Canis lupus familiaris: one gene and its partners. The protein of the gene in region 1 binds, or shares a complex with, the protein of each later gene. Links are inferred from orthologs where the notes say so. Each region holds a gene or a part of one and is shown in the gene's direction. Other genes may lie near its edges.

Region 1 (3,741 bases):
GGGGGTGGGGCACTGCATGAGGGAGGCTCTCACACCAGAGGCCCTGGGAAACCTGGGTGGGGGAGGGAAGAAGCTGGCTCCTGTTTGTTTTCAAGAGGCCAAGACCACCAGCCTCCCTCTGCTCCCCTTCCAGGTATGGAAGGAGCACCCCTGCCCCAGAGCCATGATGCCTCCACTAAGACACCTCCTTCTTCATTTTTGAGGCTTGCTTTGACCGACCTCACAAGATAGGTGGCTCATCTGGTCCCATCTTGTCCCTGAAGAGCCAGGCCTGCTGGGGATGAGAGGACTGAGTGTGTGGAGCTGCTGTTTAAAAGATCTAAAGAGAGACCAGTCAGGGATGGAGGGGGAGTGGATAATCCTTTCCTACCAGGTTCCGGATCAAACCACTGAACATGTGTTAGTGCCTACAGTTGTAATACACGTGGAGTCCAGAGATAGGACAGGAACTGGCCAAGGTCACACCTATGAGGCTAATGCACATGTAAAGTAGTACCTTGTACCTGGCTACTGCAGGGGGTAGGCAGCCCTTGCCTACTGTCTTTCCCCTTGAAGAAGAAAAACAGAACGAAGAGAAAACCCCCAAAACCCCCTTTCTGTCGCAGTCTGGGATCAGAAGCTGAGCTCTCCTCTGTTACCTGGGAGCGGCCCCAACTCTGGGGCAGAGCTGGGTTTTGGCCGGGTCCGCAGCCACCACGGCCACCACGTGAAGCAGCCGCATGGGACAGCCTAGTGCCCTCCTCCGTCGGCCTTAACCTTGCCCTACCTCGGTCAAGCACCTCTGGTCTGCGCCCCGGTTGGGTTGTGAGGAGCTCACACACCCTGCAGTGGCTTGGTGGGGGCGGGGGCGGCCTGCCTCTTCTGCTTTCCTTCACAGCCGAACTCAGCGGCCGGGGCCCCAAGCCCGCCAGGCCTCCCCTGAGCTGTCCACCTGCAGGGCTGGCGGAGGGGGGGGGAGGGCCCCAGCTCCCGCCGCCGCTGGCCCACCGCAGCAGCAGGGGGCCCGGCAACCTGCACCTGCCCCTTCCCACGGCCCACCCAGCCGGCTGCAAACGCTGGAGCCGGTCGCCAGCGCGCAGGCCGAGGCCTCGCGGTGTGTGGGGGGTGCGCACTGGTTTGCGGGTTTCGCGGGTGCGGGCGGACGTAGCCTGGGGCTCACGGGCACCCTCGAGGCCGGAGGCGGGGGACGGAGAGGCGTGGGGCTGCCGTGAGGGCTGCGGCCGGATGCGCGGGGATCGCGGCTCCCCAAGCTGCGGCAGGTGGGGGGCCGCCCCGCCGCGCCCCGCCCCCACCGCCCCGCGCCCGCCGCGCCCCGCCCCCGCCCGCAGTGCCCGGATGTGGGTGACGTGCGGCCGCCATCTTCCCGTCCCGGGCAGCCAGCGCCAGTCGGAGCCAGCGCGAGCCGCCGCCGCCGCCGCCGCCGCCGCCGCCGCCGCCGCCGAGCCGTCCGCCTGCCGCCCCCGCCATGTGAGTCGGCCGCCCGCGCCCGCACCGGGCCTGCCCGCGCCGGCCGCCGCCCTTGGGAGCCGGTCCGGGGAGCGCCCGGGGTTCGGCCGGCGCCCCGAGGCCAGGCCGGCGCCCGTGACTGCGCGCGGGCGGCTGCAGAGAGCGCCGCGTCCCGGGCTGGCCGCGCGGGCGGAGGCCGCGGGAGGGAGCGGGCCCGCCGTCCGCCGCCCCTGGCCTCGCCGCCGCCCGTCATTGCGGGTCGACCCCGCACCTTGTCTTGGAGGTCGCCCTCATTTGACGGACGGGGAAACTGAGGCCCCCTCAGGAGGGGGGAGGGGGCCTGACTCAAGGTCACGCAGCTGGGCGGCCGTGGGGCCGGACGCCGCGCAGGGCTCCCCTCGGTGGCCTTCCTCCGGGGAAGGAGAAAGGGAGGGACGGATGGATGGACAGGAGGATGGGCGGAGCCCTGGCCGCGGGGCCGGCGGCTCCAGGCCTCGGGTCTTACTCCGTCCCTGCCCCTCAGGTCGGCTACCGCTGCCACCGCCCCCCCTGCCGCCCCGGCTGGGGAGGGAGGCCCCCCGGCGCCCCCTCCAAACCTCACCAGTAACAGGAGACTGCAGCAGACCCAGGCCCAGGTGGATGAGGTGAGTGTGGGGGGTGTCAGGCGGCGGGAAGGACCCCGACGGTTGGCACCGGTGGGGAGGGGGCATCCTGTGTTGGAGATGCTGAGTTTATGAGTTTAGGGACAAAGACGTACCCTGCCCCTGCCCAGCTCAGCTTGCATTTGGAACGGCCTGGGGTGTTAGTCAACCTTGATGGGCTGGGGAGTTTGGGTCCCGGCAGGTGTGGTCTGGCGACGCACAGGCTGCTTAGAGGGTGCTGCTCTGACATCTGAGATGTCTTGTCTGGCTGTCAGCATGCCCCTGATGTGTGCTCCTTACATGTCCCCAGGTGTGCTAGGGATGTTCTCTGTGTGTCCTTGGCATGTTAGCCGGGCAGCATCGGGGTGCATGTTCACTCTGTGGGTGCATGGTTGAGGACTGTGCCCTCACTGAGGCGGCCTTGGCACACCCCCTGCCTCGTGGGCCCCTCCTTCAGGTGGTGGACATCATGAGGGTGAATGTGGACAAGGTCCTGGAGCGGGACCAGAAGCTGTCCGAGCTGGACGACCGTGCAGATGCACTCCAGGCAGGGGCCTCCCAGTTTGAAACAAGCGCAGCCAAGCTCAAGCGCAAATACTGGTGGAAAAACCTCAAGGTAAGGGTGGAGGCACGCAAGAGGGCTGGCATGAGAACTGGTGGGTGACGAGGGTGTCACGGTCTGTATCACTGACCCTCCCCCCTTTCTCGCCCCCAGATGATGATCATCTTGGGAGTGATTTGCGCCATCATCCTCATCATCATCATCGGTGAGTAGGGCAGGATTGGCTAGGGCCCTTTCTCTGGAGGGGTTTCCCCTTCTAGGTCTTGAAGGTCATTAACCTAGTTTGTACTATTCAGCAGAAAGTATATATAGCTGGCAGTGCAGCTCTGATTCATCTAGAGCCCCAAACCTTGCTGCACTTTGTTTGGTTCTAGGCAATTCTTGTTAAGATTTTTGGAAACAGGAAAGCTGGTGGATCAGCACTGCTCCCTTGAGGATCCTTTTTGGGCCTAAACCTAGTCTGGGAACCCTGGAATTGGGAAGTGGGAGAGCAGGTGAGGCCCAGGGGCTTGAGACATGGCTAGGAAGCCAAACACCCTACTGTTTGAGAGCTTGTGGGCCAGACACACAGATAGATGATTGGAGTCTGTGGCCCCAAGGCCATACTGTGGAGTTGTAGAGACCTTGGAACCTACCAGCCCAGTCTGTTGCTTTACAGATGGAGAACCTAAGGCCAAGAGGGCTGGGGAGTGGGGAGGCTGGGAGCAGGGCCAGGCCTGATACACTGCTTTCTCTCTCTTTCTTTCTCCCCCTCTCTCCTTCCTTCTCTTTCCCTCTCTACAGTTTACTTCAGCTCTTAAACCCCTGAGGAGCCCGCCCTGCCCAGAGAAGGGCCTCTCCCCATCTCCCCCCACCCCATCCCCAGCAGCTCCTCCACCTCTCAGCCATATCTTCCAGCCCCCTCCCCTGGATCCGCGTGTGTGTGTCCCCGTGTGTGTGCACCCCTGTAAATAGCCAGCTGTTATTTATACATATATAATATTATATATATTTGGTCTGTTTGTAGTTTTATTACTAGAAGATTTTTCCGGTTGTCCTTAACACCCCTTCCTGAGGTTCCCATCTCTTTTCTCTTTTCCTCCTTCCCCTTCT
Region 2 (3,741 bases), on another chromosome or scaffold:
TGGAAAGTGCATGTCATCGCCAGACCCCGGCGGGGCGCAGTGTGGCCCAGCACGCGGGGTGGGGCCGGGTCTGAGCAGCGCAGCACCGCCCGCCCGGTTCCCGGAGCCCCAGGGACGCGCTCCCAGCGGCTGCCCCACGGCCAGCGCGGCCCAGGGAGCGGGGAAGGGGCCGTGGTGTCGGGAGGCACACGAGGCCCTGATGAGTGACACCCGCCGTGCCACTTCGCCTCCACGACTCCTGCCACGACCTCCCAAGGCCTCACGGGGTCCAACAGCAGGGGGACCCCAGCATCCACTTGCATTTGAAGTTTCTGGGCAATCCCCGGTGCACCGAAGTCCGTCCCAGCCCCCCGGGGGTCCGCGCCCCTGGCAGACCCCACCCCAACGCCAAAGGCCGACTGGGGGAACGCCTGTGGGAGCCGGAGCAGGACGTGCCCTGCGGCGCGGGGGCCAGATGGGACTGGCAGGGGCTGGGCCTCCCTGGAGGGAGCTAAGGGGCACCCCGGGGGGCCTCCAGGAGGGGCCTCCGGGAGGCTGAGCTCAGCGGCCTCTGCCATCTGCAGGACTGCGTGGGGGCGCAGAGGGGACTCTGGATGCCCGGGGCCTGCAACCCAGCATCATATGGTCTTCGTGCCTTGGATCGGGGTTCCCGGCCTGGAGGGCCATCCCTGGAGCAGGTGGAGGGCCCAGCTAGGGCGCCCCCCACGCTGCATGGCCCCTCCCTTCCGCTTCCTGGAACCCTTCTCTGTACCCCGACCCAGGACACACCCTGGGACTGTGGCCTCCTCTGGGTGCCTCTGAACTCACAGCCGGGTCTCCCCCAGCTACTCGCTCCTGCCTCCCCGTGGCTGCTGCAGGTCTTCCAGGCCCTGACGGCGACACAACTACCAAGGCAGCATTGCCCCCCCCACCCCCCACCCCGTCCACAGAGGCAGACCCGGCAGGTGGGTGGTGTGCAGCTGTGTCACCTCACGTCCTGGCCACCTGCCCAGAGCTGGCCCTCCCTGGGCTGCCCAGCTGCCCGGCCTCCCTGTCCTGGCGTGGGGCACCAGTCACTCTGATCTGGGACTGTCACTGGCCTTGTCTGTTTCCACTGGGAGAGTCGGAGACCTGGTCCGGGGCCTGGGCACCTGTGAGAACGGATGGGGGTCTCCGTGTGGGCGGTGAGTGCAGGACAGGCAAGGACAGGGCCAGAGAAGGCGACCGCATACAGGGATGGGGGAGTTTGGGGGCCGGGCAGCACCCCTGGACCCCGGGCTCAGGGCTCTGTGTGTGGCGCTCAGCCAGCCCCAGACTGTGGAGTCAGTGGGGCTGTGGGGTCCCCACTGAGCTGGGGGCCTCTGTGTTCCTCCCTCCTATGAGCCTGTGCCGCCCTGACACTGCCCTAGGGTCAGCTGGGTGTTGCCCTGCAGGTGGCTCATGAAGGTCCCGGGGTCCTGGGTCATGGGGCCTGCTCTGGACTCAGCTGAGGTCACCGCTCCGTGTGTTGCACCCCCAGGCCCATTGGTGGCAGGGGTGGAGGGGAGAGCCTGGAGCGGGGAGCAGCGACTTCTCTGCTTCCTGGGCGGACCGCTCCCTCCAGCATCCACACCCAGGTTGGGGGGCACCGGAAGGGCCAAGGCTGAGCAGGCCCTCAAGGCCCTCGCACACCTGGAACAGCCGAGCACAGAACACCTGTCCCCAGACGCGCTTGAGGCGGGGGCTCTAACCGGTGTCTGGAGAAGGGGGCAGTGATGCGATGGGACCCCGGGGGTCAGCCGGGGCAGGCAGCTCAGGGGCTCGGTGCAGCCCTCGGCTCCCCTTTGGGCAGCACCTCCCTCACCCGCTGGCCCAGATCCGCGGGGCAGGACCCGTCAGCAGGACAAGCGAGGATGTGGGGGCCGGAACCGGGGCCTGGGATCCAGGGAGGCTGCAGCCAGGCCAGTGTGTCCTGGGAGGTGCGTCCCGGGGCCGGCGCGGCCGGCGGGGGCGGCTCTGGCCGTTGGCCTCGACCTTGCGGCGACCCTGCGCTCCCCGCAGTGCGGCTCGGCGGCGGGGAAATCCCGGAGGCCGGGGGAGGGGGCGGCGGGGGCGGGGCCGCGGGGCGGAGCGTCCGCAGCGACCTTCAGGCGTCCCTGCCCGCGGGGGCCGCCGCCCTGCGCCACCCGCCGCCCCGCCCCGCCCCGCCCCGCCGGCCCCGCCCCCGCCCCGCCGGCCCCGCCCCCGCCCCGCCGGCCCCGCCCCCGCCCCGCTGGCCCCGCCCCCGCCCGCTGGCCCCGCCCCCAGACCCGCGGAGCCGTCCCCGTCGCGCGCTCCCGCTCTGAGAAATACGGCGGCGGCGGGCGGCTCCCTCCGCGGGGCGAGCGGGGCCCGGAGTCGGGGGCGCCCTCGTCCCGCCCTGGGGCGCCGGGGCCCGGGAGCGGCGCGGGGTCGCGGGCGGCGCGCAGGGGCCTCGCCCGGGTCGGGACCCCGTGGGCGCGGCGGGAGCCCCTTCCCAGCGCGGGGCGGGGCGGGGCGGACGGGCCTCCGGGACGGGCGGGGGCGGCTCCGTGGTCCCGCCCCGCGCCCCGCCGGCCCCGCCCCCGCCGGCCCCGCCCCCGCCGTGACGCTCGGCGCGGGCGGGGGGGGCGGGTGCGCCTCCACGTGACGCGCCCTCCTCGCCGTGCCCTTCAGCCGCCGCCGCATTCCCGGCGCCACATGGACCCCGCCGGCCCGAGCGCGCCCCGCCGCTGACCGCACGCCCGCCGCGCCCGGCCCGGGAAGGTAACCGCGCTCCCCCCGCGCCGCGCACCCCGCGGCCCCCGGCAAGGCCCCCGGCAAGGCCCCCGCTCCCCGCGCCGCGCCCGGCCCGGCCCGGCGGAGCCCCCAGCGCCCCCGGCCCCCGCCCCCGCCCCCGCCCCCGCCCCCGCCCCCGGGTCGCCCCGCCCGCACCCCGGCCCCGGGAGGCCCCCCAGCGCCCCCTACACCCCCCACACCCCCGCCGCCCCGCCCGCACCCCGGCCCCGGGCGGGCGCTGTCCGCGGACTCGGTGCTGAAGCGGCCCCGCGCGGCCCCTTCCTCGCTCCCGCTGCGGTCGGGGCTCCTGCCCTCGCGCCCCTCCCTGCCCCTCGCGCCCCTCCCCTCCCCGCCCCCCCGCGCCCCCGCCCCAGGGCCGCTCGGCACCTCGCCCGCCCGCAAAGCCACGGGGTGCGGCGGCAGCGGGAGCGGGCCCAAGCCTGGGGGACTCCCGCGGCGCCCCGAGCCTGGCTGTGGCTGCGCCCCGCTTCCCCACCCCCTCCGGAGCCAGGGGAGAAGTTTGGAAGAGAATCTGCTTTGCGGCAAGGGCGCCCTGTGCGCCAGCGCCGCGCGGGGAGGCGGCCCCCCCCGACCACCCAGCACCCGCCCCCCGGTCCCCCCCAGGCCGCAGGAGCGCGGGTCTCCTGGGAGGAGAACACCCGAAAGCGCTGGATCTCAGCCCTGGGCTGCCCTGCCCCAGAGGCCCCACAAGCGGGGAGGGGGAGCATTGCAGCCCCTGGTTTAGGCAGCGCCTCCGCACCGGAGTTCAGCGACCTGGACCCTGGAGGCCCCGCAGGCGCAGGTGGGGGCGCCCTGTCCTCCCTCGGGGTCTCCCACCCCAGTCTCCGCCGTGCTGCTGGCAGTGGGCATAGAACTTCCCCTGGGTACAGCCTGGTCTCCTGGGACTCCTGTCAGAAGCCGAGGGGAGCTCCCTGAAGGGGCATCCGGCCAGGCCCCACTCCTCCGTAGTCCTTTCGTCCCTTAGGT
Region 3 (3,092 bases), on another chromosome or scaffold:
CCAGAACTAGGCCTTGCTGAGCTCAGAGCTTTGCCCTTTCCTGATGTCCCTCGGCAGGGGCAGGGGCTGTGGAGCAGCCCTGCGTGCCGAGTGGGCAGCCTGGCGCCTGGACGCCCACCGGGTGGAGGCTGGGGGGCTCAGCCCCTCTGGAAGCTAGAGAGCTAGAGGCTTCCTTGGGGAGAGCCATCGTGTCAATGGGGGAAGCTGGGGGTTGGCCTGTCAGTGGGGCGGCCTCCATGGCCACATTGGGGGCAAGGGGAGGCTTAGGAAGGCTGTCCCCTCCGCAGTAGGGATGCCTGGGCTGTCAGCCTGGTTTCTCCAGAGTGTTTACAGGTGATTCTAGGCTGGTCTTTCCCCCTCTCTGGGCCATCTGTCCCCAGGCCAGGCCCTCTGCCTGGTACCTGGGCCCCATTACCTCTGGCATTGCCTCGTCAACCTGTATCCCTGTGGACAGGAGAAACCCGGAGGCTGAATGTGGAGGGGTGTGACAAGGTCACCCCATCAGGGCTCAGTGAAGCCTCCCATTGGAGGCCTGTGCCCCTCAGTCTCCCGGTACCCTCTTGTACATGCCTCATTTGTGTGACTGAGGTGCAGGAACCCACTGGTTTTGGGGGCCCAGAAGAACAAGGAGGGGCAAGTGGGACGCTGGGAACATTACTCCATCAAAAAGGACCCCTTCCTGTGTCCCACCCAGGGCCGGTTCACGATCGCGGCCAAGCACCACATCTCCATTGCTGAGATCTATGAGACGGAGCTGGTGGACATCGAGAAGGTGAGTGGCAGTCGGTGGCCCTGCCTGGCTGACAGTGGGGGAGGACTGCAGCAGCCTGTCTCCTCAGACTGGGGCTTGTCTGTCTGCTCTCTCCACCTGAGGCATCCTCTGGTGTCTGAGTACCAGAAAGGGGGTGTGGCGCACCGACAGAACTTGGGTAGAGGGCTCCTGCTGTGGCCCAGGCAGGGCCGGCCCTATGGTGGATCAAGGTCACATTGCCACCTCCTCACGCCCTGCCTCTCCCCGTGTCTCCCCAGGCCATCGCCCACTATGAGCAGTCTGCAGACTACTACAAAGGAGAGGAGTCCAACAGGTACCGGCTGTGGGCACCCTTCCCCCTTCCCTATACCCACCCCACCCCACCCCTTAGCCCCCAGGCCAGCCACCACTGACCTCTGTCTCCTCCGCCCACCCTTACAGCTCAGCCAATAAGTGCCTGCTGAAGGTGGCTGGCTATGCCGCACAGCTGGAGCAGTATCAGAAGGCCATTGACATTTATGAGCAGGTGGGGACAGCCAGGGCTCTGGGGGAGGGCCCTGCACCCCATTTGCCCTTTCCTGATGTCCCATCATCTGCACAGTGCTCCCTCCCTCCCCCTGGCCACCTCTCCCCTCCCCTCCATCACCATCCTGGCACTCCCCTTGTCCTCACTGGCTAAACAGTTCACCACCCACAACCCCACAGGGAGTCCCCACCCTCTCCCTGTATGCTTCTCACAGAAAGCTTCCTGGGGGGGCCTGGGGGCCCAGAGGGAGTGGGAAGAGAATCCTTAAGGCCTGGGGTAGCCAGAGGGAGCTGAGGAGCCCACAGGGAGGGGTCAGAAAGCTCGTCCTTCACACACCATGGGAGTGACAGGGAGGGAGCATCACGTGGGGGCGCAGGCTCCCCTGGGCTGTGTGGGGAAGGCTGGGCGGTCCTGGTGGGTTCAGCTTGGCCAAGAGAAAGGCAGGCAGCTGGCCCCGGAGGAGTAGGGGGCGGGTGCCACCTCTCATGTTCCCGCAGCCTGCCGCCCCTCTGCCCACCGACGTGCCAGCCTCCTGTAGGGCCTGACAGCGGGGCCGCCTCCTCCCCACCATCTCAGGGGGTGGGGGGAGCCCACCGACACCGGGCTTTGGCCCTGTGACAGCACTCGCCCCCTGCCATACCCTGGTCTTTGGCTACCCACACACCACCGGCTGACTTCCTGGGGCTGGCCCTTGGCCTCCCTGCCCTTCGGGTCCCGGGTTGATGGGGCTTCATCCGGGACACAGATGAGGCTCCCAGCCGGCCCCCCGGTGCCTCTCAGTGACCCTGGCTCTCTGGCTGCCTGCCCAAGCTTATAGTGCCACCACCGCACCTCCACAGGTGGGGACCAATGCCATGGACAGCCCCCTCCTCAAGTACAGCGCCAAGGACTACTTCTTCAAGGCGGCCCTCTGTCACTTCTGCATTGACATGCTCAATGCCAAGGTGAGCTGGGGCCCAGTCGGACCACCCAGAGCGTCCCCCACCTCCCAGTGACCACCGTGGTGCACCATGTTTATCACTAGATCCCTTAATAGGGGTGAGCCCTCCCTCATGTCCAGCACCTGCCTGTCAGCTGTGGGCAGGAAATGCTTGTTCTCGCCGATGTGCTCCTGTCCCAGGTGTCACCTGCCCAGTGTCTGTAGCTTTTGAGTTTATCCAGCTTCTCACTTACTTGGTGCCAGTGAGGGAGAGCACACTTTGAGTTTTTGCTGCATCCCTCGAGGTCAACACCACTGTCACCTGTTGTACAGATGATGACACTGAGGCTAAGACACAGGGACCCTTATTCAAGGTCACATGGCTGGATTCCAGATCTTTCTGACTCCCAGTGTCATGATTTGAACCATAGTTTGCGTGTCCACACCACCCCTTTTGAGGGCTGTTTGGCAAGACAGGGGTGAGTGGTGGGCGAGGGGGTGGGGAACTGCTGGGGGCAGGGAGCTGGAGTCTTCCAGGGTTCCACATTTCCTGGGGTCTCCAGCCACCGTGCCCTCCGCCACATGGAGTGTCTGAGCCCCACCACCACCCCTGCTCCCACTGGCTGCGTGTAAGAGCTCGCTCAGGCTCGGCCTCAGGCTGGTTCGCATCCCTGCCCCCATATACCCTGTGCCCTGAGCAAATCTTTCAGAATGGGGGTCACTCATTCCACCTTCCCTGGGTCCACATGATGGTTAAATGTAAGAAGTACCCAGCACCAGCCCTGCCCTGTAGGATGTATTCGTAGGAGGCAGCTGTCATTTGTGCCCTGCCCTGGGCACTGGCCTAGGAGCCCCTCCCCACACTTCCTCCACACAAGCTGTCTCTGCAGCCAGGT

Evidence for each region.
Region 2: the proteins of VAMP2 (region 1) and CPLX1 are in contact, whole or in part, in a crystal structure (PDB 1KIL), measured with the Rattus norvegicus proteins. The link is inferred for Canis lupus familiaris from reciprocal best matches to the Homo sapiens genes VAMP2 and CPLX1. Residues at the interface, in NP_036795.1 of Rattus norvegicus: Arg47, Val50, Asp51, Leu54, Asp57, Gln58, Ser61, Asp64, Asp65, Asp68, Ala69, Gln76; in NP_074055.1 of Rattus norvegicus: Leu41, Arg48, Tyr52, Glu56, Arg59, Glu60, Met62, Arg63, Ile66, Arg67, Tyr70, Gly71, Ile72.
Region 3: the proteins of VAMP2 (region 1) and NAPA are in contact, whole or in part, in a cryo-EM structure (PDB 3J97), measured with the Rattus norvegicus proteins. The link is inferred for Canis lupus familiaris from reciprocal best matches to the Homo sapiens genes VAMP2 and NAPA. Residues at the interface, in NP_036795.1 of Rattus norvegicus: Gln36, Ala37, Asp40, Glu41, Val43, Arg47, Val50, Asp51, Leu54, Glu55, Gln58, Lys59, Arg66; in NP_542152.1 of Rattus norvegicus: Arg116, Thr118, Lys122, Ser157, Ser159, Ser160, Lys163, Leu197, Tyr200, Ser201, Lys203, Arg239, Ser268, Ile269, Arg271.

What each region holds. Positions count from the first base shown.
Region 1 is NC_049226.1:33,181,131-33,184,871, reverse strand, and holds the start of VAMP2 (vesicle-associated membrane protein 2), read left to right. Parts: upstream 1-1,421; 5' UTR 1,422-1,465; coding exon 1,466-1,467; intron 1,468-1,969; coding exon 1,970-2,090; intron 2,091-2,544; coding exon 2,545-2,703; intron 2,704-2,802; coding exon 2,803-2,854; intron 2,855-3,432; coding exon 3,433-3,449; 3' UTR 3,450-3,741. UniProt on the Homo sapiens protein: Involved in the targeting and/or fusion of transport vesicles to their target membrane. Major SNARE protein of synaptic vesicles which mediates fusion of synaptic vesicles to release neurotransmitters.
Region 2 is NC_049224.1:92,242,728-92,246,468, forward strand, and holds the start of CPLX1 (complexin-1), read left to right. Parts: upstream 1-1,048; 5' UTR 1,049-1,163; intron 1,164-2,602; exon of another isoform or gene 2,603-2,742; intron 2,743-3,416; exon of another isoform or gene 3,417-3,556; intron 3,557-3,741. UniProt on the Homo sapiens protein: Positively regulates a late step in exocytosis of various cytoplasmic vesicles, such as synaptic vesicles and other secretory vesicles.
Region 3 is NC_049222.1:109,234,067-109,237,158, forward strand, and holds part of NAPA (alpha-soluble NSF attachment protein), read left to right. Parts: intron 1-694; coding exon 695-772; intron 773-1,029; coding exon 1,030-1,085; intron 1,086-1,192; coding exon 1,193-1,277; intron 1,278-2,116; coding exon 2,117-2,221; intron 2,222-3,092. UniProt on the Homo sapiens protein: Required for vesicular transport between the endoplasmic reticulum and the Golgi apparatus. Together with GNA12 promotes CDH5 localization to plasma membrane.